4 linked regions of the Drosophila melanogaster genome follow. The protein of the gene in region 4 interacts with the protein of the main gene of each other region in a pairwise test. Each region holds a gene or a part of one and is shown on either strand. Other genes may lie near its edges.

Evidence for each region.
Region 1: the proteins of Tsp (region 4) and mthl8 interact in a two-hybrid assay, tested with the Drosophila melanogaster proteins (one large-scale study listed by BioGRID).
Region 2: the proteins of Tsp (region 4) and CG18539 interact in a two-hybrid assay, tested with the Drosophila melanogaster proteins (one large-scale study listed by BioGRID).
Region 3: the proteins of Tsp (region 4) and RASSF8 interact in a two-hybrid assay, tested with the Drosophila melanogaster proteins (one large-scale study listed by BioGRID).

The regions. Positions count from the first base shown.
Region 1 is NT_037436.4:20,016-27,316, forward strand, and holds mthl8 (methuselah-like 8), read left to right. Parts: upstream 1-2,412; 5' UTR 2,413-2,467; intron 2,468-2,528; 5' UTR 2,529-4,177; coding exon 4,178-4,681; intron 4,682-4,736; coding exon 4,737-4,893; intron 4,894-5,073; coding exon 5,074-5,265; intron 5,266-5,325; coding exon 5,326-5,544; intron 5,545-5,603; coding exon 5,604-5,961; intron 5,962-6,014; coding exon 6,015-6,063; 3' UTR 6,064-6,293; downstream 6,294-7,301.
Region 2 is NT_033778.4:18,295,635-18,299,724, forward strand, and holds CG18539 (uncharacterized protein), read left to right. Parts: upstream 1-2,546; 5' UTR 2,547-2,565; coding exon 2,566-2,631; intron 2,632-2,689; coding exon 2,690-2,842; intron 2,843-2,908; coding exon 2,909-3,247; 3' UTR 3,248-3,269; downstream 3,270-4,090. Other genes in the region: CG18537 (uncharacterized protein), read left to right, coding at 311-379, 439-591, 655-999; CG18538 (uncharacterized protein), read left to right, coding at 1,436-1,483, 1,562-1,717, 1,773-2,117; CG18540 (uncharacterized protein), read left to right, coding at 3,699-3,773, 3,842-3,994, 4,056-4,090.
Region 3 is NT_033777.3:25,659,546-25,666,449, reverse strand, and holds RASSF8 (Ras association domain family member 8), read right to left. Parts: upstream 4,656-6,904; 5' UTR 4,036-4,655; coding exon 3,964-4,035; exon of another isoform or gene 3,817-3,963; coding exon 3,443-3,816; intron 3,301-3,442; coding exon 2,580-3,300; intron 2,513-2,579; coding exon 2,202-2,512; intron 2,141-2,201; coding exon 1,795-2,140; 3' UTR 810-1,794; downstream 1-809. Other genes in the region: Tnks (tankyrase), read left to right, coding at 5,663-5,858.
Region 4 is NT_033779.5:6,705,804-6,711,570, reverse strand, and holds the start of Tsp (thrombospondin), read left to right. Parts: upstream 1-2,484; 5' UTR 2,485-3,284; intron 3,285-5,767.

The sequences.
Region 1 (7,301 bases), on a different chromosome or scaffold from region 4:
TAGCTAATTTTCTCTCCCATATATATAAGACCGAAAACGGCTGTTTAAAAGTTCCCAATAGATTGCCAATATTTAAGTCTATATATTTCTGAGAATAAATTGACCAGATTAAATATTAAAGGCCATGTTTTTGTATTGCTTTTTTTATACCCCTTACTCATATATTTAAAGGGGTACACTATATTCGTTGAAGAGTATGTAACAAACAGTATGAAATGTCTCCGACTATATAAAGTATATATATTTTTGATCATAATCAAAAGCCGAGGCGATCTAGCCATGTCCGTCTGTTCGTATGAACGTCGAGATCTCAAGAACTATAAAATCAAGAAGGTTGAGATTAAGCAGCATATAGATTCTAGAGACAAGGACGCAGTGCAAGTTTGGTGACCCATGTTGTCACGCCCATTCTAACGTCCACAAACCGCACAAAACTGCCATGCCCACATTTTTAAACCATTTTTCCTATTTTTTTCACATTTTATTAACTTTGTAAATTTCTATCACTCTTCAAAAAAAAATTTGCCATGCCCACATTTTTTAACCATTCTTCGATATTTTTTCAAAATTTAATAAATAACAGCCCAAAACAGCTACGCCCACATTTTTGAACCATTTTTCAATATTTTAATATAATTTTAGTAGTCGTGTAGATTTCTATCGACTTGCCAAAAAACTTTTTTCCACGCCCACTCTAGCGCCCTAAAGCAGCCGAACCGGTTACGCCCACACTTTCTAACAATCGTTAAATTTTTTCTTATTTTATTGCCAGTATCTTTCGATATCCCAGAAAAATGATGAAATTTCGTTCACACGAACGGGTTTCTGATATTTGGGGAACTCGAATATAGCATTTTTATGTTGTTTCTTCTCGTAAATCTGTGGAAACAAATCGATTCCTTTTCCTATTTTATAATATAAAAAACTTGTACGCTAATCTTGGTACATTTTAACTGCGGTTACAGATCATGAATAGACTATATCAAAAATTACTTGCAAAAAATCGAACAAAATAAACTATGCTTATATTATAAACTTTAACCTTTTCCGTAACAATGCAACCGTTCCCAAAATCTTTATTTTTAACAAATAGAAAATTTTGAATATAAATAAATTTTTCGTATTATGAACTAAATTTTGTATTTAGGTACATATATGTATTAGGGTATTAGCTAATATATTTTTGTTTTTTTTTTTTTTTAATTAAGTTGTGAATATCTATTGAAATGTCTGAAGCAATTCCGCTCCTACCAATACTTTTATAAAAAAGTTCAATATTTTTTTAAATTTCCTGCCATTTCTATTCTATTGAAATTTTTCTATCTTACTCCCACCAGACGTGTAACATATTTTAATTGCTTGAAGATTGACTTTCGCTCACATCCACAGGGAAAACAAGAGAGAATGCAGTAGTCGAGCTCCTGACTCCAGGTACCAGTTAATCAGTTAGAAGCGTAAAAGAGAAATTTAAATATTTTTTAGGAATATTGGTAGAAATGGGGAAAAAATAATACAATAAAAATTAATTTAAATATTGTTCAAAAGTGTGGGCATAACAGTTTTGTGTGGTTTGTGTGCGTCTGAGTGGGCCTGCCCAAACAATTTTTGGCTAGCCGATAGAAGTTTGCAAGACTAAAAAAATATATAAAAAAATATCAAAACATTTTTCAAAAGACGGGTTCCTAAGATCTAATCTTTATACCGACAGACGGACGAACATGGCCAGATCGACTCGACAATTGATCCTGATCAGAAATATATATACTTTATAAGTTCGGAAACGCTTCCTTCTACCAGTTACATACATTTCATTGACACTAGTATAACCCTTTACGCTAGGAGTGCGTATAACAAAGTTACCATATCTGGTTTGTGTAAAAATACTGATGACAGACCGTTCGTCAAGAAATACTGACAGTTATTGTATAATTAGGTTAATTTAAAAATTAATTGAATTTTAGGACGGCTTATATTTGAAATATACTACAAAAACATAAAACTTGGTAAATTTATGAACGGTCTGCTTTCGGAATTTCAGCAGAATCGGTTGGCAAGCAATTCACAACGAAGAGCTATCAGAGCAAACCGAAAACACAAATCAACAATGTTGCAGCAAGAGTTAATACGTTGGTGTAAGTTTACAAATCAGTATTCATTAAATCTAGATAGCTCTTTGCGCTAAGAGTGCGTAAAACAAACAGTTACCATATCTGGGTTGTGTAAAAATACTGAGGACAGACCGTTCGTCAAGAAATACTGACAGTTGTATAATTAGGTTTATTGAAAATTATCGAATTATCGGACGGCTGATATTTGACATATACTAAAAACATAAAATTTGGTATATTTATGAACGGTCTGCTGTCGGTATTTCATCAGAATCGGTTGGCAAGCAATTCACAACAAAGAGCCATCAGAGTTAACCGAAAACACAAGCCTTTTATGCAGCAAGAGTTAATACGTTGGTGTAAGTGTACAAATCAGTAGGGACCACAAATTAACGTTCTTTTACGTATACAATATTTCAGATAAATCCCACAGGTATGGAACACCATAAAGACACCGGTCAATTGCACCACTACGTGCAGTACGGACTTTCCGAAAGTGCACAGATTTTCGGATGCGCAAAAGAGCATCACATCTTGAAGACGCTCTGAGGAAAACTGCTCCAAATCTAGTCCACCAGCATTAAACTACCGGTGGCTTCAATCTGGTTTAGGAAGAAGACCACAATAAAGTGATCAAAGATAATCAGGTCTTCACCAATTTAAAGTCTACTACTTCAACGAATGAGATAGTCGTCCTGCAGGCAAGGAGTCATACCAGTTGGCCGAGCAATATCAACAGCAGCAGATGGAATCGCGTGATGAATCTAGTATCTCCGTCAGGAAGACGGGCACGTGTACAGCGAGGACAACAGTGATTTTGGAGTGGAACAGGTGGAAAACCAATCCCAGTTGAAAACCAATCCCAGTTCGATCCCAATGTTGTGGCCTTTGTGCCTAGCTTTGACGCACAGAAATCCTCTCCCCCGCAGCCTGTTGCGGAAGTTTATCTACTTGGTGTTCAGCCCCGCTAACTTTTACCGCATGGCACCCTTGACGACCTTGTTGTGGAAAGTCTGCGTAAAGAATTTCAAAATTTCTGGAAGGGGAAACCTGTAGATGCAGCTGAGCTGTTAAATGATTTACAAACAAGCCGACATCTCGGGAACCATTAAAGAGACATTTAAAGTCAAAAAGTGGCCAACTGAAACCCGTTAAAATCCGCTTGCGACCGCAACTTGGCCCGACTAAGGCAAAAAATAACATAATCCTGTCAAGTCATGCAGACAGGGCGATTTACATTATAATTTTAAATGGCAATGGATTAGTCATCATCAGTACCTGCTTATCTGGTTTTCCTGATTTTTAAATCAAATCTGTGACTGTATCTCTTACCTTTCCTCTTGTACCTCGTTATTATAAAATGCGAAAACCCTCTGCCAAAGGACACTATAAAACGAATTTTTTAAAAGACGCCAAACAAAATGGCACTTTTTGTTGAGAAGAAAATATGCCGATAAGAACGTTTTACTTGTAAGACGCTGCAGAAAGATTAGGAACGAAAACTATCGACAATGTTTACTTGTATAATCTGAGCTTTCTAAAACACAAAAATAGTGTACTTTTACCATACGCTTAATTTCGAAATTAATCCGGGATATACAGTTGGGGATCCAGATTTTAAATTCGTGAACACAGCTGCTGGAGTAGGGCATTTCCTGATCGATCTGTTAGTTTTCGGACTTTTACTTTGGTTGTTGTAAACAATATCCGCAAGTTTCTCGCAAAGTGGGTTGCGTTGTGCCGTGCCTCAGTAGAGCACTACACACTACCTTCGATTGAGTTCGCTGGGATTTGGATTTCGTTCACAGTCCAAGTTTGGACCGTGCTAGGAGAAGATAATGATCCGATCACTCAATTAACTTCATGCACCCAGTGACGTCATCAGTGCTTTACTATTCGGTGTCTATATAGTCTATTTTGTTTAATTTCTTACACCCTACATTTCGATACGATTCGATTTTCGTTTGGAAATTGTCTGAAGGTAAACAAGCATAAATTGGACGTTCAAGCGTAAACAAATCGGTTTTCGGAGCAAAATACAAAAATCGTCAGTTGAGAAAGTCTCTCAAATGGCGCAGTTCTGCATTCTTGGAGTCCTCCTCATTCTTTCTGGAACACACTGCTCGTGGGGATTCCATGAAGAGACACATTATCCGTGTGCCTTTATCGATACGGCAAACATAACGGGGAGCTACGGCTTAGATGGCCCATTTGTGCACAACTGGACGGTGATTCCCCGTCACTTCGTAGCCGTGTACGACTTTGTCATCGAAAATGGCATCCGCATCCCCGCAAGCAGGCATCTCAGAGCCTGTGTCTGTAAGACCAAACCCTGTGTACGGATTTGCTGTTTACGGGGAGAAATCTACGACCTGGAGAAGAGGCAGTGCTTAGTCCCTGTGGCCGGGGTGTCCAGCCTTCCCTCCCATAGCCATATGGAGGTGGAGTTGGGCAACGGCAGTCTGCGTCTAGTGAAACTGCAACCCCGTTTTAGCATCCACGTGGAAACACCATGTGAGCACATGAAAGCCGTAACCAAGGGCTCGGAATACGTTCACTGGACACTTCATGAGGTCGGTTGTGAAATAAACCTTCCATCACATTAATGGCTTTACATCGCCTTTTCAGAACGGAACCATCAGCCACCGAGGACACATATTTTCTAAGCATTACTGCTTCACTCCGCTGCTCCATGGGAACTCCACCTGGGAGTGGCAGCCATTGGCCTGTGCACCAGAAAAACTATATTTCGTCTTGGGGGTGCGGGAGTGGACATACGCCATATGTAAGTAGCAAGAGGAAACATTTTTCCAGCAACTTTCAGCAATTCATTATCCCAAATATGCACAATACTGTTTTCACAACAATACATAAAAGTAATTGCTAAAGCACCAAAAAACAATCGATGATAGCATTAATAGTTTGATAGTCAGAATTTAATTTACCCAGCGTATTCACTTTCCAGGTCTCTTGATAGCTATTCTATCAATGTTTATCGTGCTGATGGTCTACCTTATGTGTTCGGAAATGCGCAACAGTTTCTACGGTGTGGCCATAAAGGCGTACGCCATTTGTATGATCTTGGGATATGCCCTACTGGCTTATCTCACGCTCCACAACCCAGCAAATCTCTCAAATGCGGCTTGTCGTATTCTACGTAAGTGGTAAATTTGAGTATTCTGTGATATTTAAACATTCCCTTCTTTTTTTTTTTTAGCAAGTTTGGCGTTGATGAACTTGGTGCTTTCCTTTTACATTCTGAGCTTTATTGCATTTAAGCTGTACTTGAGCTTTTATGGCGTTGTCTTCACAAAACTGATGTTTTGGCTAATATTTACTCCCATCGTACTGGTAGCCGTGGGCTGGTCTTTCTTTGTGGGTTTCAGTTATTACGGCTCTAGGCTCATCTTCGGAGGCGATACATGCTGGTTTGATCGTAAGCACTGCCAATCCATATATGTTTTATAATAATTAATTGGTATTCCACATCGCTAGCACGCAATTGGTCCGTTATGATATATTTTTACGCTCCTGTTTTCGTGGCTTGCGCCATTAGCGGTTTCTTCTATGTCCTGAGCCAGATCTACATCCGTGATCAGCCAGATATCGAGACGGAGAAGAGCTTCGAGTCCATAGAGAAGAACCGATTCAAATCATTTTGGAAGTACTTTGGCTACACGGCAGTCGTATGGGTCGTTTGCATATGCTCCTTTGCCTTTAACTACTACTGGGAGAACAGATCCCACCTTAACTACGCTGTAAGCTTCTGCATGGCCTTCCACGGGTTTGCGGCCCTCTATGCGCTGATTGGAAAGAATCAGCAAATCCAAAATTTTCTGCGGCGCATAGATAAGTAAGTTGATAACTATGAATTTTAAGTACTACTGTTAATATATACTGTTGCAGTGGCGAAGATACCTGTGAAAACTCAGTTCCGCTCTCGAGTTTTGGTTAACTTTTCTTGTTGTGCCCACTGTAGCGTTAGTGTAACTGGAAGCAGTTGAGTGTATCGACAATATCTGTGCAATGTTTTTAAAATCACTTATCAGCATAGACAAAAACCATGTATTTTAAATGTAAAATTTTGTAGGATGTGTGTAAAATATATTTGTAAAATTTGAACTCGAACAAAAAAGTACACTTCTACCCTTTAAACGAAATTACGATAATAAAGATACAAAAAATAAATATATCTGAAAAAAAAATCAGGTCTGGAATTTCTACAATTGTTAAATATGATAACAAGTCCCAACAATCCTTTCAGTATAGAACAAAACATGGAATATACTTAAGCCATGTGAAAGAACACATAACATATTAATATTCTAAACAATTTGAGCAGTTTTCTTGAGTTTACGCCTCCAACAATTTATCCTTCACCTTTCTTGAGTTCCAAATTCCTGGACCGTGATCAAGTTTCTCCAGTCTTATTTCAAGTCCCGATTTTACTGTACCCTATCCGCATCGCCAAGCCCGGTGTTACTTCCCCGATCTCTCTATATTATAAATGTGCGCCGATTTTATTTAACATCAGAGGTCAATGGCCGCAAAACAGACAGAGAGAGAGAGAGAGAAAGTTGGTCAGAGCCACGAGAACTGCATCCCGACAGGGGGCTGTCAAGAGCAAGGAATCAAGTGGAATGTTGGTGGTGCTCTTTTGAAAAGGCTTCGCAAACTTTCCCCCTGTACACCCCCTTGCCAAGGCCTAATCGCAGAAAACCCACCCGGGTCGGAGTCCCCAATTCATTTTCATGCCGATTATGCTTCGGGTTTTGGTCCTGCTCTTTTTGGCTGGGCGTACAGCAGCAGGACTCGGGGTACACACTAAGAGAGGTCTAAGAATATAGAGATAGACAAGGAAAGCAGATGGATCGATAAAACGTAGTAAAAATGCTCGTAGTAATGGAAGCTGGAAATAACATGGCACAAACAGGCCCCAAACTGCATCGACAACACCATCACAATCCAGACGTGCGCACTGGAAAATCCCGAGAGGTAGGACATGTTTGGCGCGTTTTTCGACTGCATGTGTGCGAGTGTTCTGTTTTGGTTAGATACGTATGAAAAAGTGAAAAAGCCTATATTGACCGCGCCCGGTAGATCGCATAGGCAATATCGATATGGGAAATCATTGACTAACATTTGCAGACATTTAGTTTGGGACACATTAAAGTTAATTTGACTCGCACTATC
Region 2 (4,090 bases), on a different chromosome or scaffold from region 4:
CTATAAATAAATCCAATGAGTAATAAATTATTGTTCTTATTTCATTTTACAAAATAGAATCTCTTTATTATTGGTAATCATTTTGCTCCGATGAGCATTTTCCACTAATTTGCTTTGTAATGAATTCTTCTGGCGTTATAAAATCGTTTTACATAGTGCATTTTGGAATTTAAAAACATTTTTGATTTGTGTAGAATCCACGTGTCTATTAAAATCTGATAGTAATGTCGTGTAACGTTGAAATAGTCATTTAAACAGGCTATATAAACACAAGTCACAGAGCATTCTTACCCAGTTTCATATTGGCCAAATGGATTCCGGCTATTCGTCAGTCTTAATATTGTTGGCAGTTTGGCTAATCAGTAGATGCGGAGCAGCGGTTAGTTCAGTATTTAAACTGATGAACTATCTTTACCAATATATATTTTTTTTTTTTAGCGGAAATGGGAGTACGAACCTGTATTGATATTAACCACCTCTTCGGACGACAGTCTAATAAAATTAGAGTCCAGTATTGTTCGCTTAGGGCGTGGAAAGTTTGGAATATCAGCGCGGGTGGAGTGGAACTATGACACCACTGAGGAGACAATGGTGGGAAAATTCCTTAAACGGTATTCCTTGCATAACAACATACTTTTTTTTTTATATATATAGGTGGAGGCTGTTGTATACCGCAGCAATTCGGGTGATGAGTCCGACTACAAGCTGCTCCCTTGGGCCATTCCTAAGCAAACCTTTTACGACTACCTCAACTCCTACTACAAGGATGTGATAATGAAGAACTTTGCCCCCTGTTCCAATGTGCCGCAGTTCAAGGGCAAATTTCAACCGCCTTGGCCGAAACGAACGTATATCGGTGACAAATGCGTCTTTGAAGCCGAAGGTTTTCCGGATATCGTGCCACCTGGATTCTACAAGATTATTTTCAATTGTACCGGACCTGATCAGCCATCGTGGAGCTTTATCGGAATTTTTAAAATAATAAACAAAATGTTTTAGCTATGTAGCAATAAATATATATCAAATAAAATACGGCCAAATATTTTTTTAAATCCTTTAAAGCGAGCTTATACACGTGTTTTTCTGAATTTGAACTCGTATCTTCGTACATAGATAAATGTAATACAATGATGTAATAGAACATAAACAATAAAAAACAGAAATAAAAACATTTCCAAAATCAGAAACTAAATATATCAGTTACAATAAGCACATACTTATATAAAAAAGTTATGCGAAGTTTAAGTGTTTCAATGGACTATTCGTATTTAATGGCTGTAAATAGTTATATAATCATATACATTTAGGTACTGTGGGAAAGATCTGCAATAGTGTGATAAAATGCCGTGACAATGTGCACATTTTTTTTTATCAATGGACATGGCTATATAAGCATAAAGCCCGATTTCCCAATACTTAGTTTCATATTGTAATTATGTCTGTCCGGTGTTTTATTGCTGAACTTTGTATGGCACTCCTGCTCGTAGGTGAATGCCAAACGGCGGTAGGTTCACAGTTCATATCTTCCATATATCTTGTAATAATTTAAAGAATTATCCAGCGGAAATGGGACTACGAACCCATATCCATCGAAACCCACTCATCCGATGAGAGTTTAATAAAATTAGATATGAAAATTGAGCGAATCAATCGCGGAGTGTTTGGATTGACGCCAAGGTTGAGTGGAACTACGATACGACTGATGAAACCATGGTACGTGTGTCTTACTTGATAAGTTAGTCCTTTGAATAAGGATTGTGATTTTTCCGTAGGTCGAGGCCAATGTCCTTCGAAGCTCGACGGGAGATGTCAGCGACTACAAGCTGCTTCCTTGGGCCATTCCCAAGCAATCGCTATACGAACATCTGAACACCTATTACAAGGATGTTTCGATGAAGAACTTTAAGCACTGTTCCAATATTCCGCAATTCGAGGGTAAATTCCAACCGCCATTGCCAAAGCAGACCTATTTTGGCAACAAATGCGTGATCGATGGCGATGGGTTGCCAGAAATTGTTCCTGCCGGTTTTTATCTGATTGTGATCAAATGCTATGGACCAGGTCAACCCACATGGAACACTACGTCAGTTTTTAAAATCACACCCAAATTAATGTAAAAACCATTATCTTAGATAAACACATTTTTTTTTTAACTGCGCTTATGTTTAATAAAATCAATGGTAAAAATTTGAAATATTTTAGCTGTTTCGATAAGAAATGAGTGTCCTTGAAGGAGGTAAGAAATATTCAAGAAAAATTCAAGATCAGTAACAATTACTAGTGGAAGAGAATTTTCAGTTATTGTGTAAAAAAATTCACATTTCTCAAATACTTAATATACATTTGTAAGTTTGCTCAATTGTAGCTAAAGACCAACCAATAAACAAAATTCATATTTAATATTCAAAGTCCACACATTTTTTCATGTTTTTGGCATGCAGTCTTGTTTGACATGGTTAGCCCAAAATGTAACAGGGAGTTATATAATTAATACATGCAATCCACTGCAGTTTGCTATATAAATGCAACTAAATTGCAAGTTGATGAAGTTTAAAGTCTGGCTAAATGATTTCGTGTTGTTCGTTGCTATTTTTGCTCGCTACGCTGCTGATCGATGGCTGCAAAGCAGGAGTATGCCAGGATATTCTAACAAAATAGGATACTTATAATTTCTGTGCTCATTCCACAGCGTAACTGGGAGTATGAGCCCTTATCATTGACATCCTATAGCTCAGATGAGAGTCTCTTGAAGATCACCACAAAAATTGATCGACTTGGGCGCAGCGATTATGCATTTTCCATGACACTGGACTGGAACTACGATGTGGATAAGGACACTATGGTTGAGATATTGATTTTAATATCAAGTTTCTATTAATTAAGAAAATGGTTATTAATCGCTGGACAGGTGGAGGCAGACGTTCATCACTGCTCATCGGGTGACGAAGACGATTACAAAATGATGCCCTGGTCCATTCCTAAACAGCCATTTTTCGAATATCTAAACGGTTTCTACAAGGACGCGTTCATCAAGAATGTGGGCCATTGCTCCAATATGGTGCAGTTCGATGGCGATTTTGTGCCACCATGGCCACGAAATGTTTACAAGTTGGACAAATGTGTGGCCAGTGGCGAGGGACTGCCAGATATTGCACCAGAGGGTTTCTACAAGCTAGAGTATAAAATGACAGGACAGGTGGATTGGGGTTTCACCCTGATTGTTAAGGTCTCGCCAAAGGTTATTTAATATTATATTATATGCGGCTCTTAAGAAGTTCAAACATTTTTTTTTCTACTTAACAAATTGTACTATGTTGTGTAAAATGAATTTATATTAAATTGTATTAAATTAATATTTATAAAATTTATATTTTTGTATTTTATTTACAACGAATTTATCGTCTACATTATCAACTTCTGCATATCCAAATATGAAAGAAAATTTTTTTAGCCAATGCAAGCATGACTTGCGCGTTGTGTATTTGTGTAATTTGCTAAATTTGGATGGGTGATACCGTGACGATCAGTAAATTTAGATAAGCTTGACATGATTTACACCTATTCCAACTTCAATAATCTAACAATGTGCACAATTGTACACAATGTTTTCGTGTCACAAATGTTTTTAAAAGATAAATCTAAATTGACAGACTATAAAAGCAAGTAGGTTGCAACTTATATTGTCAATTTAACCAGAAATGATTTCGTTTTGCATTTCATCGCTTTTATCAGTGTGTATTTTTGCAAACCTTTACAATGGTTGTGCGGCAAAGGTATGCTAAGAAAGAAATATTCCTAAATATTTCTTTATTTTTTTTTAAATATGGTTTATTGTTTCCAGCCCAACTGGGAGGCAACGCCATTGTCGATTGGTGGCACCACCACAAATCCCAGTGCCATGGACATGAATCTGCGAATTGAGCGCATTTCAAGGTCGGAATTCGGGTTTTCAGGCACATTCTTCTGGAATATTGATGTGGACGATAGCGTGATGGTAATTTCTGTACCAAATATCATTGATTCAAAAGCACTTAAAAATCAAATACTGCTTTTAGGTCGAGATGCGTATTCTGAGCAGTTACTCCGGTGA
Region 3 (6,904 bases), on a different chromosome or scaffold from region 4:
TTTAAGCAGCCACTTGGTTCCCCAATTTATGCAAGACATTAAGCCAAACTCAAGGTTATAGGTTTGCCAAATGTACTACGAAATGGAAGTGCAATATGTGACCGGCATTAGAGGGTCCTTTTCCGAAGCATTTCTTGTCCGGCTGATTAAATTTAGCTTAATTGAGTCGGCGGCAAGGGGGGGGGGGGGTTACATCGCCCAGCGGGGGGGCTCAAGGTCAGCCGGAGACAAATCATAATTTCCGCAAAAGGTCACATTGTCTCGGCGATGCATGATCCCCAAAACAGAGAAACTGGGACTCTCATTATCGCAATCATCGCAATTGAACATCATTTGGTGTGGAAGAGGGCCATAAAAACGGAGCGCTCCTTCGTCCTTTTTGCTGGCGGGCCACTTTAACGCTCTCCCTCGACCACTTTGTCGATTGTGTCAATGCGATAGGATGCCCCCAAAAACGGACCATTCAAATGTATGCTCCTTTGCCTCTTTATTTCCTACGGGCCACTTTCACTGACCCGTTCACTGGGCGACACTTTTTGAAAATTGAAAGTAGCGCGCGCTTCGCCAGGAAGTCTGAGTCGCGAGCGAAGGATATCGACAAGGACAAAAGGACCAAACGCGTTCGAGCACAGCGGCCAACTGAAGCTGGTGGCAGCATGTGTTGCTGATTTTGTTTTTCCCTCCGCACAAGAAAAGCGGCCGAGCAGCTAGCTTCGTGTGGCACAGGACTTCGGGCTGACCGTTGATTTCATTTGCGGAAAATTCGTGGTGTTTCAAAAGACCAAAACCAAATGTAAATACAGACAGTTCGTTTCGAGAAAATCATAAAAATGTATTTATTAGCTAATTAGATGTAATGCAATTACAATTTGTTCTAAATCGTTTTTAGTTTAAATGTAATAGTAATATATAATATTCGATAAATTGCATTTCCGTTGGTGTTTTGTAGTTCACTATCATCATCAGTTTGTGTAAATATTAAATATTGCTAATTAAAAACATAATACATCAAAGCGACTTGTGGGTTGTCTTTTAATTGTACGCTAGCAATTATGTATGTACTAATGCTTGATACCTTTGCAATTGTTAATGCTTCGGTCTTTTGTTTCGATATCCGGTGGCTAAGGCTAAGCACTTTAAAAGTTAAACTTTTCAACAAAGCATTGCTAATTTGTTTTTTTAAAGCTGCGCTAATTGCTAAGTACAATAAGTTTTGTGTAATTCGAATTGTGAATTCTACAATGAATAATTCTGTAGGAGACAAATCACTAAGGGCACTACTTATTCGTTAGAAAGGCGTTTTTAAATTACGATACTCTCGAATTATTGCAACAATTAAAATTCATTGTCAAGTTAACAACTAATGGCGAATTGTAGAGATTGGAAAGGGTTTTTGTTAACACGTAGACTAGCAGCAAAAATTAACCAAAAGTATAGCACACAAAATTAAGATTAGGGCATGTGAATATGGGACTCATTAACTACTATTAAATACAAAGTACAGTGCGGAATGTAGAGTAATAAAACGATTGTGATTTCAAATTTGTAACATATATCATTGCATTGAGAGATCCATAGAGTGTGATTGGAATGTAAACATACTAAAACAACAATCAAGCACGTTAATTATTGTAAATATTTTTAGAATATTGTTTAAAATTGTGATATTCATAAGGAATCCATTTCGTTTCAACTCCATTATGCATTCAAGATATGTTGATCAATTTGTTCCCAAAAACATTATTTTGTTGGAGGAGAAATACGTTTAGAAAAATAGTTCTGGGTATGTGTGACTTAAACCCACACACCATGAGGATTTTTACTGGTTGGAACCGCCGTTTCAAGTTGCCTGGGCGAACCGATGATCCGCCGGCTGCTGCCCTGCTTGTTGGGTCCTTCCAATAGATGCTTGATCTCCTCCGTGGTGGTCACAGTCAGGCTCTGCAAATTCACCTCCTTCATCTCGTTGACCAGCTGCTCCACCTGCCGCTTCTTGTCCGCGATGGCATGCTCGATCATGAGTAGTTCCTTCTTTAAACTATCTGCAGTTTTGTTTGAAGTGTCAGTGTTGTGCAGAGCCTGGTCGATTTCACTCTGAATGCGCTCCATTTCCATCAAGAAGTCTCGCTCCACAGTTTGCCTGAAACAACCAAGAAGTGTGAAAAACTTAAAACAAAGCAAGTAAATTGCTATGCACTCACCTATTGGTCTGCTGTTGATGTTGCTGCTCCAGCTCAATGTCATCCATCAGCAAGCGCATTTTGTTCTTGCATTGTAGCAGCTCTGTTTCGCAATTGGCCAGCTTGGATCGCAGTAGAGCTATTTCTGATTTCAAAGTCTTCTCTTGCTGCTTGACCAATTCGTTTTCCTCTTCCACATACTGCAGAGTCTGGAGCTGTTCGCTTCCTTGCCGAAAGATTTGATCCGCCTTGGAAATCTCACGCGAAATAGCATCCAACTCGTGGGCGTGGTCGCGTTCTTTGCTCTCCAAATAAACTATTTCCGTATCGAACTAAGCAGATAAAACAAAAATAAAATAATAACATTCCAAATCAATTTAGAAACTTGAATATTTGTACCTTTTGCAATTCCATTTGCTGGGCTGTGATCTTCTCCCGCTGAAACTTGATGAGCTGCAGCAAATCGTTATACTGCGTGGTCTGGAACATGGGCTCACCCTCCTCCATGGCCTGGCTATTATTGTTGATGCTATTAGTGTTGTGGCTGCTATGCTGATCGTAGTCGCTGAGAAACGGATTCGTCGAGGAGGAGGCATTGGACATGGTGTCCGCATTGCTGCTGGCCAAACGCTGCCCCTGGCACATGGGGCTGTTTCTCGGGGGTGGCGGGTCACGATATGGTGGTGGGACTAGAGCTCCATTCGCGGAAATCGTCGGCGTTTGCTTGTACAGCTCCGGTGAGTTGTTATTGTTATTAACAATATTGTTATTATTGTTGTAGTACATTTCGTTGGGACTGGAGCGTCGGAGTTCATTGCTGGATTTGCTCAGCTGGCTGTATATATGCTGATTACTGCTGCTGTTATTGTTGTAGAAGTCATTGTAGCCATTTGTAGGTGCGGGTGGATTGCTACCCGTGCTGGTCATGTCCAGCGGATTGGACAGCGATTTCTCATGCTTTGGCACCAGTGGTGCTACATTATTGTTATCCTGCGGTGTCAGCTGCTCCTGTGGTGGACTCGCCGGTGCTCCCATGGCCGTTTGTTGTGACTGCAATTGCTGCTGCTGCGGAATTCCCTTGACGATTCCAATGTTGTCAAACTGCTTGGCATCGTGGCCCCTGAAAGAGACAAGTTTTGTCAGTTGATGGTAGCCGCACAGGTGCATATTTAAACACAGTTTGTTAGCCTATTAACAATTAGGGCTAGGTAAGCGCTTTAAGGGGTAGTTTCCAAACTAACTAGCATATAAAAACCACCCACCCGAAACTTTTTTTCAATTCCTTTGTGCGGTAGCTGAGTTCGACGTTCGACTTTTGCTTTAGCAAAGTGGGCGCTGGCTTATTATTGTTATTGTTGTTCGGCCCCAGCGGCTTTTTTGTTGTTGTCATCACAGCATAGTTGTTATTATTATTATTGTTCTGCTGCTGCTGTTGTTGTTGCTGCTGCTGCTGCTGTGTTTTGTTTTCCGAACGTTGTAATATAAACTGCACATCATTTGCATACTCGCCCCATTTGAGCAGCAGCTTCATTGGATTCTCATTGGGGGCCAGGTGGCGTTCGTTATTGCGCCACCTTTCGATTAAAGTGAATCTGCCCACTTTTCCAGTGGCATGGGCCAAAGCAAAAACCACATCCTGTGGAAAATAAAACGATAATTAGGGCAAACTGACTAGCAAACAGAGCGCATACAGTTCGGGTCACATTAACAGCACTGCAGCAGTGTAAAATGCTTTAACAAGATAATAGTGCTATTATTTTGACCTCTGCTGTAGCTCACATACCTGACATGTGGTGTTCACTGTAACGCCGCAAACTATCCGCTGGATGCCCTCGACCCAAACTTTCAGCTCCATTCCGGCTAATTGTCGTCGAGTCGAGTCTCTAAAGATCGGCCAATTATTTTCGTTTCTTGGTGTTTCTGCTACCAGAAAATTGCTTTCTTGTGCCGCTCCAGCTGGAAATGGGGTTCTACTAATGGTTTTTGGCGCTTGACTGGCGTTCTGCTGTCGCGCAGCCAGCGAAGCGTGTTAGCTGCACTCCGCCTTTCCACTTTTCCGTCTGCTTTTCCCCAACCCCACTTTTCCTCGCCTGTTTTTCTTTTTTGCTTAATTTTCCGATCACAGTTTCTGCTTCTTCTTCACTTGCACTTATTCACAGCAACAACAACAACACGACTGGTTCCATACGCTTGCATGAGTGTTTGCTGGGCGTGCGGGTATGCGCGCGTGTGTGTGTGAGCTAGAAAAATTCTGATTCACTTTTCGGATTTCCGATTTGGTGATTACTTTTGTACTTCCGGCGCGGTAACTCCGTGGTTCTTCACTTTCTAGTAAGCACGATAATCTTGTTGTGAAGCAGCTCCACTGCTTTTGTTTTGATTTCACGGATTTTTAACGGATTTAATCTAAATTTTAAAAGCAAACATTGTTGTTGGCATGGGCATCCAGTCGATGCCAAAAATCGATTGCACCAACAGCCAACCAGGGATGGCCAAACAGGTGTTTTTCAAGCTATCGATAGCAATGCCAATTGGGATTGCATGTTGTTGTAACAGGTACTTGCTATTATTTTAAAAAATTTTTTTGAGATTTTTTCCCTAGTAATAGGCTTATGTGCTTATATTAGGATAATTGAAATTCCTACATGGCCTTTTCTAATTTAAGAATTCTAATTTAAGCTCATAAAAATGATGATCTTAATTTTTGTACCACCAATTGAATATTGTCTATTTGGTTAACAAAAAAAATTGTTTCTTATAACACAATATAGATGCAAACGTCTTTTCGCTTTTCACCAAATAGTGAGTGCACACTGAAGCACAAATTTGTGTAAAACCTTGTGAGAACATAAGCTATTAAATTTAAAAAATATAATTAATGGAAAAGCTTATGTGATTCGAGGACTTCAGTATTTTTTCAGAATGGCTTGCCCCGTCGCCTGGTCACACCGCTTGACTCAACCTGGAATATTCGACCACCCCGCGAACGGTCACTCTTACTCGGTCACAAAACAATGCAATATTTCGCGGAGCAGTGAATTAATCCGGAAATAATCGTCCGTGCCCAGAGCTTTGGAGGCCAAGTACCAGGGAGCTAGTCCCAGAGTTGGTCGCAGTCTCAGTAAAAACGAATCGTAGCCAACCGCGATCCTTGCAACCGTGCTGTGTCGAACCAAAGAAATCCTATTGATTTTGGGTCTGCAATTGTGCATTAAATATTAAGCAAAAACGAGGGCTGGTCGCGTGGCAGCCAGTGGCAAATTGTTGCTCCTGCGGCATAGGCAGGACACCTGGATACAGGATGCGGGCAAGCCAGCGACGGACAACGGCGAGGCTTGTGTAGGACGGGCAGAGCAACTGCTGGAGGAGAGAACTGGACTGGGAGTGGAAAACCCGAAAGCCCACTGAATATTGCGCTTGTTTTTTGTTGCCTATTTTTTTCGGGGCGTGTGTGTGCCAAAGCGTAGCAAACAAGCACAACAATGGCCAACAGCAGCCGAAGTCGGGCCATTTTGAGCGTTAATCTCGATGCGGTCATGGCCAACGATCCGCTGAGGGAGCTCTTCGAGGCCTGCAAAACGGGCGAGATCGCCAAGGTGAAGAAGCTAATAACGCCTCAGACCGTGAACGCCAGGGATACGGCGGGACGCAAATCCACACCATTGCATTTCGCAGCGGGTAAGTGAGATGCGATGCGGTTAGATCCCATCCAAATCCCTTCCAAGGACGGTCTAAAAACGGCAGCCCACCCCACCATTCGCCCAACGAAAGGTTGAAGGACTCGCCCAAACCCCCCGCTGCAGTGCGGATTTGGCCTTGAGCTAGTTGCGCCTGGGTGTGACGGGCGTCATTGTCGTCGCTCTCGGTCGGACACTCGCCTGCTCCAATGGCGTCGAGAGTTGACCTAGTTTCCATGTCGCTTCTGCTTTTGGCTCTGCCTCCTCTTCTGCTTCTGCTTCTCCTTCCACCACCGTTCTATGTGTTCTATATGTTTGGCTTGTTTCCGGAAGACCCCCTCTCAAAAGGGGAATCCCCCGTGCTGCCCCTTTTGCCGCTGCATGTGTGCGTGCGTGCTGCATTTAAGCATTTTCTATTTTCAAAAAAGACTCATACAGCTGCGGTCGAGATAATAGCACTGCATAATTAGCCATTTCAATGAGAGCTTTCACTGTCTCAGCACTGGAAATTGAATGTTTAACACACATATATCATCTGATTAGCTTTGTTTGTTTACACGTAGAATCCCATAGATAAAGGTCTGCAACATATGGTCTGATTGTATAGCTAACCTGTTTCGCAGGGTTTAGTTAGATGCTTGGCCTTTAAATATTAGATTGGGTAAACAAAATAACTCGTGCTAACATATTTATTTTATTTACATTTTTCAACTGTGAGTGATCAAATGATTAATCCTTCGTAATACAAGCATGCATGTTTTTTAACTATTATTTCGACTGCTATTGTGTCTGTTTTTGTGGGGGTGACAGTGATAGTGGGCGGTGGGCGGGGCAGTGGGCAGTGGGGCGACTTGTTGTGGCTGCTGCGTTGTATGCGCCATCCTGCTGACGTCTTTGGCTCAATATTTTCGCGTCTTTTGTTGTGACTTTGGCCTAGTTAGCATTTTATGCATTGCGATTTATTTAGTCAGTCGGCAGCATCGAATCAAAAGTGGAAAGAAACGTCTTTCCCTTCCCCATCCCCCATCCACATTCACCCCTTTCGAA
Region 4 (5,767 bases):
ATAAATTCTTTTGGCATTTGCATTTAGCTAGTGACAAATTAAATCGTTTTCAAGTCCACGAACGCCAAAGCAGCAAAGATATAAATTTCGATTTCTAAAACGCTTTGTATTGAACCATCAAAATGCTTGGTAGGCAAAGCTATCGCCTAGGAAATACGATTAAGATGTAATGCCGCTTACTGTTAGATATACTCTAGTTAGTCGGATTATTGCTTAATTTAAAATAATTTATTCATAACAAATAATTATAAACGAAATTGAATAAATGGATCTTGAAAATTATAGAAAACATGCTGAGTTTTGTTTGCGAAGAGCCCGCAATGCCGGTTTATTTTTTTGTTGTTAACTTGGCGTTAATCACTAGTTTTATGGCTTAAGCCCTCCACGTTAATTATACACTCACCGACGGGCCCTTAAATATTTATTCAATATTTTTGAATTGATATGCGAGCAAACCAGTTTTACTTCCCCGATAAGCTGGTGAATTGACCTTTAACTACTTTTAATTATATTGTATTGGCCCAAAAAAAAAGGGGCTGAGTTGGAAATTAAGTGATAAGCACTTGCTTTTAGTTTGTAGGGTGAATGGAGAGCTATGGTAACACCTTTAGGTAAATATTTGCACTTAGATATGCATATTTATCAACTGCCATTAAACACTCTCCTTTGAATCATTAAGCCGGAAGCTTGACCAACTTCACTCCAATCAAACCATGTCTTGCCAACTCCCACACTATTTCCAGGTGCAAGGCATCTGGCCTGGTCGGCATCAGTGGCCAAAGCCACGTAACCCAATTAACCGGCGAAGTCGTAAAATGACAATATTTCCTAGAGCAATTGAAGGCTGATGATAATCCCAAACCCCCCTAAGAGTGTTAGAAAGTAGCTCACTTTCGTTACACTGCACAACAAAGTCACGTTCGCTGAGGAAAAAAAAACACTCCAGAAAGCGCTGCACACGAAGAGCAGGAAGAATGCGTGTAATCGAATCTTGAAGACCGAAAAATAAACATGTTAATAATACAATTTTATGATTAATACGCACTGAACTGCAGTGCGAGGTGGTGGGGTAAAGGTGGGGCATTTCGGAGGAGATCAGACTTGATGTTGCTGTTGCGGCGTCGAAAAGTGCGTGGGACGTCTTAGCTCGTAACCACTGAAGATGCTGGGAACAACTCGAGGAGGATTCGGACGAGGAGTGTGTGGAATGGGGCGTGGGGCCAGCGAGGCTTATTTATAAATCACGCACATAATGAAATTTCAGCAAGTGGTCGCCGCTGTCCGAAAAGCGGCAAAATATGCAGCGTTGATGTGGGATAGCATCTCGGGTGTGTCCGCAGCACCGCAACTCCGTGATAAATGCACATCTGCATAATGCCCTCCTCCAACTGTCCGCTGACATGCCGGCGACATAATGACGAACAGGTCGGGCCATTCATTCAACTTCCCTTTCCCTTGGATCCCGATGCTACTGTCGTGTTACGCATCAGTCCCGTGTCAACGGCAAATAGGAGTGGAGGGAGTTCCGAAATGGGGGACACTTGTACTGCATAAGTAGCCATTAATAGGTGCCATATGCATATCATTTTGGGCTCTGGTTTTAACGAGTAGTTCGTCTGTTTTGAATGCCTGCAGAGCGTGCCGTTTATTTACGATCTCCATTTCAAAAGAGCAAAAGTCTGGCCCCATCCACCGAGTTCCTTTGGATTTGGAGGTGGTGGTCGAAAACAAGGATGGACGCATTATCGGAAAAGGGTTCGCACGAATCCGATTTAATGGCCTTAAACGGGCCTACAATGTAAGCATGTTTCGGGATTGAGTTTCAGTTTAATGGCCCAAACGATCTACAATTGGGGCAGCCCAAGTGGGCGACTCCACCATAATAATTGGTGGATAAACTAATGAACTGAAGACAATAAGTAATTACCCATAAATATAATCACAGAGAGCGACTTTTAACCAAAATATTTATTCTTACAAATTACACAGCAGTTTTAAACAATATATTACATAATTGCAACTTAAAGCGCACAAACGAAAACTGCGCTGATCGTTACAGAATATTTAAAATAACATTTTCTATATAGAAAATAAATTTTAAATTTCCTATATTTTAAAGAAGATTACCCATTATAAAATTTTATTTTTTACTAAGGAAGCGGAAGATATGAGATCTGAAAGTTGACTACCACTTTTTCCACTCACTTCCTCAATTATTCAGCAGCGATCTGGCCACACTGTCGATGTTTACGCAAATTTTGCACGTGGGCGTCGCGGCTTACTCACGCGTCAAATCAAAAGAAACACAAACGAAGACAAAATGCCGCGTTTCTCCCAAGAGCAACAACAACAGCTGAGAACAAAACAGAAACGCAGAAAGGCAACAACAAGTTGTCGCTGCTCCAAGTTGCTCCAGCCAACAGCGCTGCCGCTGCCTCAGTCGACGCTGCGCGTCGATCATTCCCTTTGCATTTTCAAATTTTCAGTTTCAGTTCGCGTTGGAACGTTGAACAAGACGGTGCGTGTCCTAGGTGCTTCGATAAGTGATCAGTGATTAGTTTTGGCGATAAATCAGTAGCATCAATCGATCGAACTATCGCGAGAATGTTTCAGTTTTCAAACGCTTCCTAAGTGTGCTTTTGAAATCAGCCCGCGCTGTACAAAGTTTTTTGCCCATATTTTTAAATCCGATCGATCCTCAAGCAGCATCCTCTGCATCCAAGGTGTCCAAGATCGCGTCGCGTTCGCCTTAATAGCATAAAAGTGTTTTAATTTTTATTGGCACGAACGGGCGAGTCAGTTGCGGAGCAGTTGTCGTTGCTGGAGGATTGTAGGCATTGGCGTCGCGTGTTCTCCACCGCGATTCCATAAAATCGACTCCACGAAATCTTCGCGTGTGTCCCCATTCCAAAATCCAGCTTTTCTACCTGGCGCGTATTTCGAAAAGGGTTTAAATGGTCTAATGCATCCGTTTCGTTATCGATTCTTTTAGTGTGAAGATACCCTTGCGACGTGTTTGATCTTTCGCTCTGCAAAAGTACAACATAATAAAAGTGTCTGTGCGGGCGTCCAGGAAAAAGCGGCGGAAAAGTGTGGCAATACTCGTAAAAATAACTCAGGTCGTTTCCATTCTAAATTGCGCGTTGACAGCCGCAAGTGGCGCAAACGAGCCGCACAAACAACAAGGAGCTGTCAGTTCCGTCCCGCCAAGTGGATCACTTGGATCACATCCACATCCGCAGTGGGGGCACCTCTAGAGCAAGAGCAGCGTCCTTGACCACGAGGTGAGTGTGAAGGTGGGCCAGACCTCCGGGCTTCTACATATGCTGCTTATTCGTGTGGCCAAAATCTGGGCTACACTCCGCTCACTCGGAAAATGAGTGCGCCAAGTGGCCAGGTGCGAAGTGCATTCCATATTCAAGTGCCTGGAAGGTACTAGAGCATATTAAGTTGTTCTTAAAGAAGTTGCGTTAATAATGATGCATCATCTCATTTTTAACATATTCTCAGGATCGTAAAGATAAACGAAAGATATACGGAAGTAATCACGACTTGGGTCTATGTTTATTAATATCATTCATTTAGAAAGTTATTAATAGCTAAATGCTAATTTCTTGTTTTCAATCTTAACAGACTGTAGACTAAAGAATCGCATCTTCTAGCTGCACACCCACAGCAGTTTAACTCCTTTTCATTCGACTTTATTGCATGATAATCACCAAGTTGTTGATAGGCCAATCTATGAATATTTTTTATGAGCGCCTCACAAGATTTCTATTCATTTCACCGCCATTTTATATCTGATGATAAATCAAGCTAATTGTTGTTGTAATTCAAATACTATCGATACATATTAATTAGCCACACCCAAGTCAACCGCAATCTGGCGGCAAAATCGGCCTGTGGCATCCTCACCATTCGAGCGACATTAATCTATGGGGGATCTGGGGAGATCTTATCTGCATTGGCGCCATAAATACCGCAGTCGAGTCATAATTTATTAATTACCGGACTTTCCACACGTATTTAAAGCAGATCAGATTGAGGTTTATGCCTTTGCGAGAACTATAATTATGTGGATCATATAAGGTCAGAGCACAGAATATTTTCCCCTCCAACAAATATGAATTGTGATTCGAAACGGCAGCCACAGATTGCTAATGATGTTGACCAAATGAAGCTGGTCACATTCCCCAACAACGGTTAAAATACTTAATTTTATTTGGCTCGATTTCCCAATCACTTTGCAGCTTCTACTGGGCTCTGCTACTCAATTCCAAGCGATTCAATTAAAAGACGCCCACTGCAAAGATCCCCATAACAATTTATAACTGCCTGTTCGAGAGACATTTCAGACTTGCGGTTATTTTATTATTTGAATATATTATTTAGCGGCAGTGGCGTTGTGACCCGAAGGGGTATTAATCTTGAAGATGTAGTAACCAATAGTTGGGAGATACTTTTAGCTAGGCCTATGACTTCGTTGTATCGATGTATCTATACAATAGATAGATACTTTCCCTTCAATAGAGCGGACAAATAAGATCGATCTGTTCAGTTTTGCAATGAGATGTGACAGAAATTCACTGAATAATTATTCAAATATGGAGCTTGGTGTTTTCTTATTCTCTGTCCAAACATTGACACCCCTTGGCGCTCCACACAGAGATGACTCTTCAGACATGGTAATATCTTGCTGGCCATATTTGGAGCTCGAGTTTGACATTATTAAAACATAAATAATATTGCCATTGTTAGTTATGGAATTTCCGCTTGGCAGCGAGTTATGAGTTCATAAACAAATGCAAATTAAGTGGAAAATTGTTGCACCAGCAAATTAGCGCATCGTCAGTGGAAAGTCATTTGGACACCAATATCCGAACCTTCTGCGGCAAATCAGGCTAACAAATTTTAATGCTTTGTATTGACTTCAGTCGGAATTTGCAATTCAAATGGAGCAAAGTCACAATAGCAGCTAAGGCTATTTGTGTTGGCCGTTTGGACTGCGGGCTTCAAAACCAATTCAAGTCGAATGGAGACGCGACTTTGCCTTAATGGTTCATCAACATAAGTTAATGGGTTTTCGGTTTTGGCCTAATGACAGATTAAACACATTCTCAAGCGATTTGACAAGATTGCCAACGAAAATTGCGCCGAAATGTATACTTTTATCCGGGCAAGAATAGTAGCATCTATCACGCATATTATTTTCCTTAGATATTTTGCGAAGATATGCAAATTATTTAAAGACGACCACTGATAGCAAGGTGCGGTCCAACAAACACCTGGTAAAAATAAACATTTAATTATATAGCCGCTGTATAAATTTAATTGATGGCAATATAATACGATTTGAGACAGTTTCTAGCTGCTGGCTATGCTTACATCAAAAAGTAGTCATCATGCATGTTTAGCTCAACGCAAGATTAAAGATTCAAGATTACAGAGATTATAATAATACCATTCTTACGGGTCTTTAAATTGTGATTTATGCGTTTTTACACCTACAATTTCAATCATTTTTATGTACTCTGCTGTTGCGATTGAGCAACTTGGCAGGTGGCAATTACCATACCAGAAATCTCAATCACCCGACTTATAATTGACAGACCTTTCAATATTTTGAAATAGGACTCCATATAACACCTGAAAAGCCACATTTTCAGCTGTCAACTACTGCATTTTTGTCGAATATAAATAGTCAAAAATTGAATGGGAAAACGACGACAAAAAGACCGGGCCTAAATTCAAATCGATACAAATACAG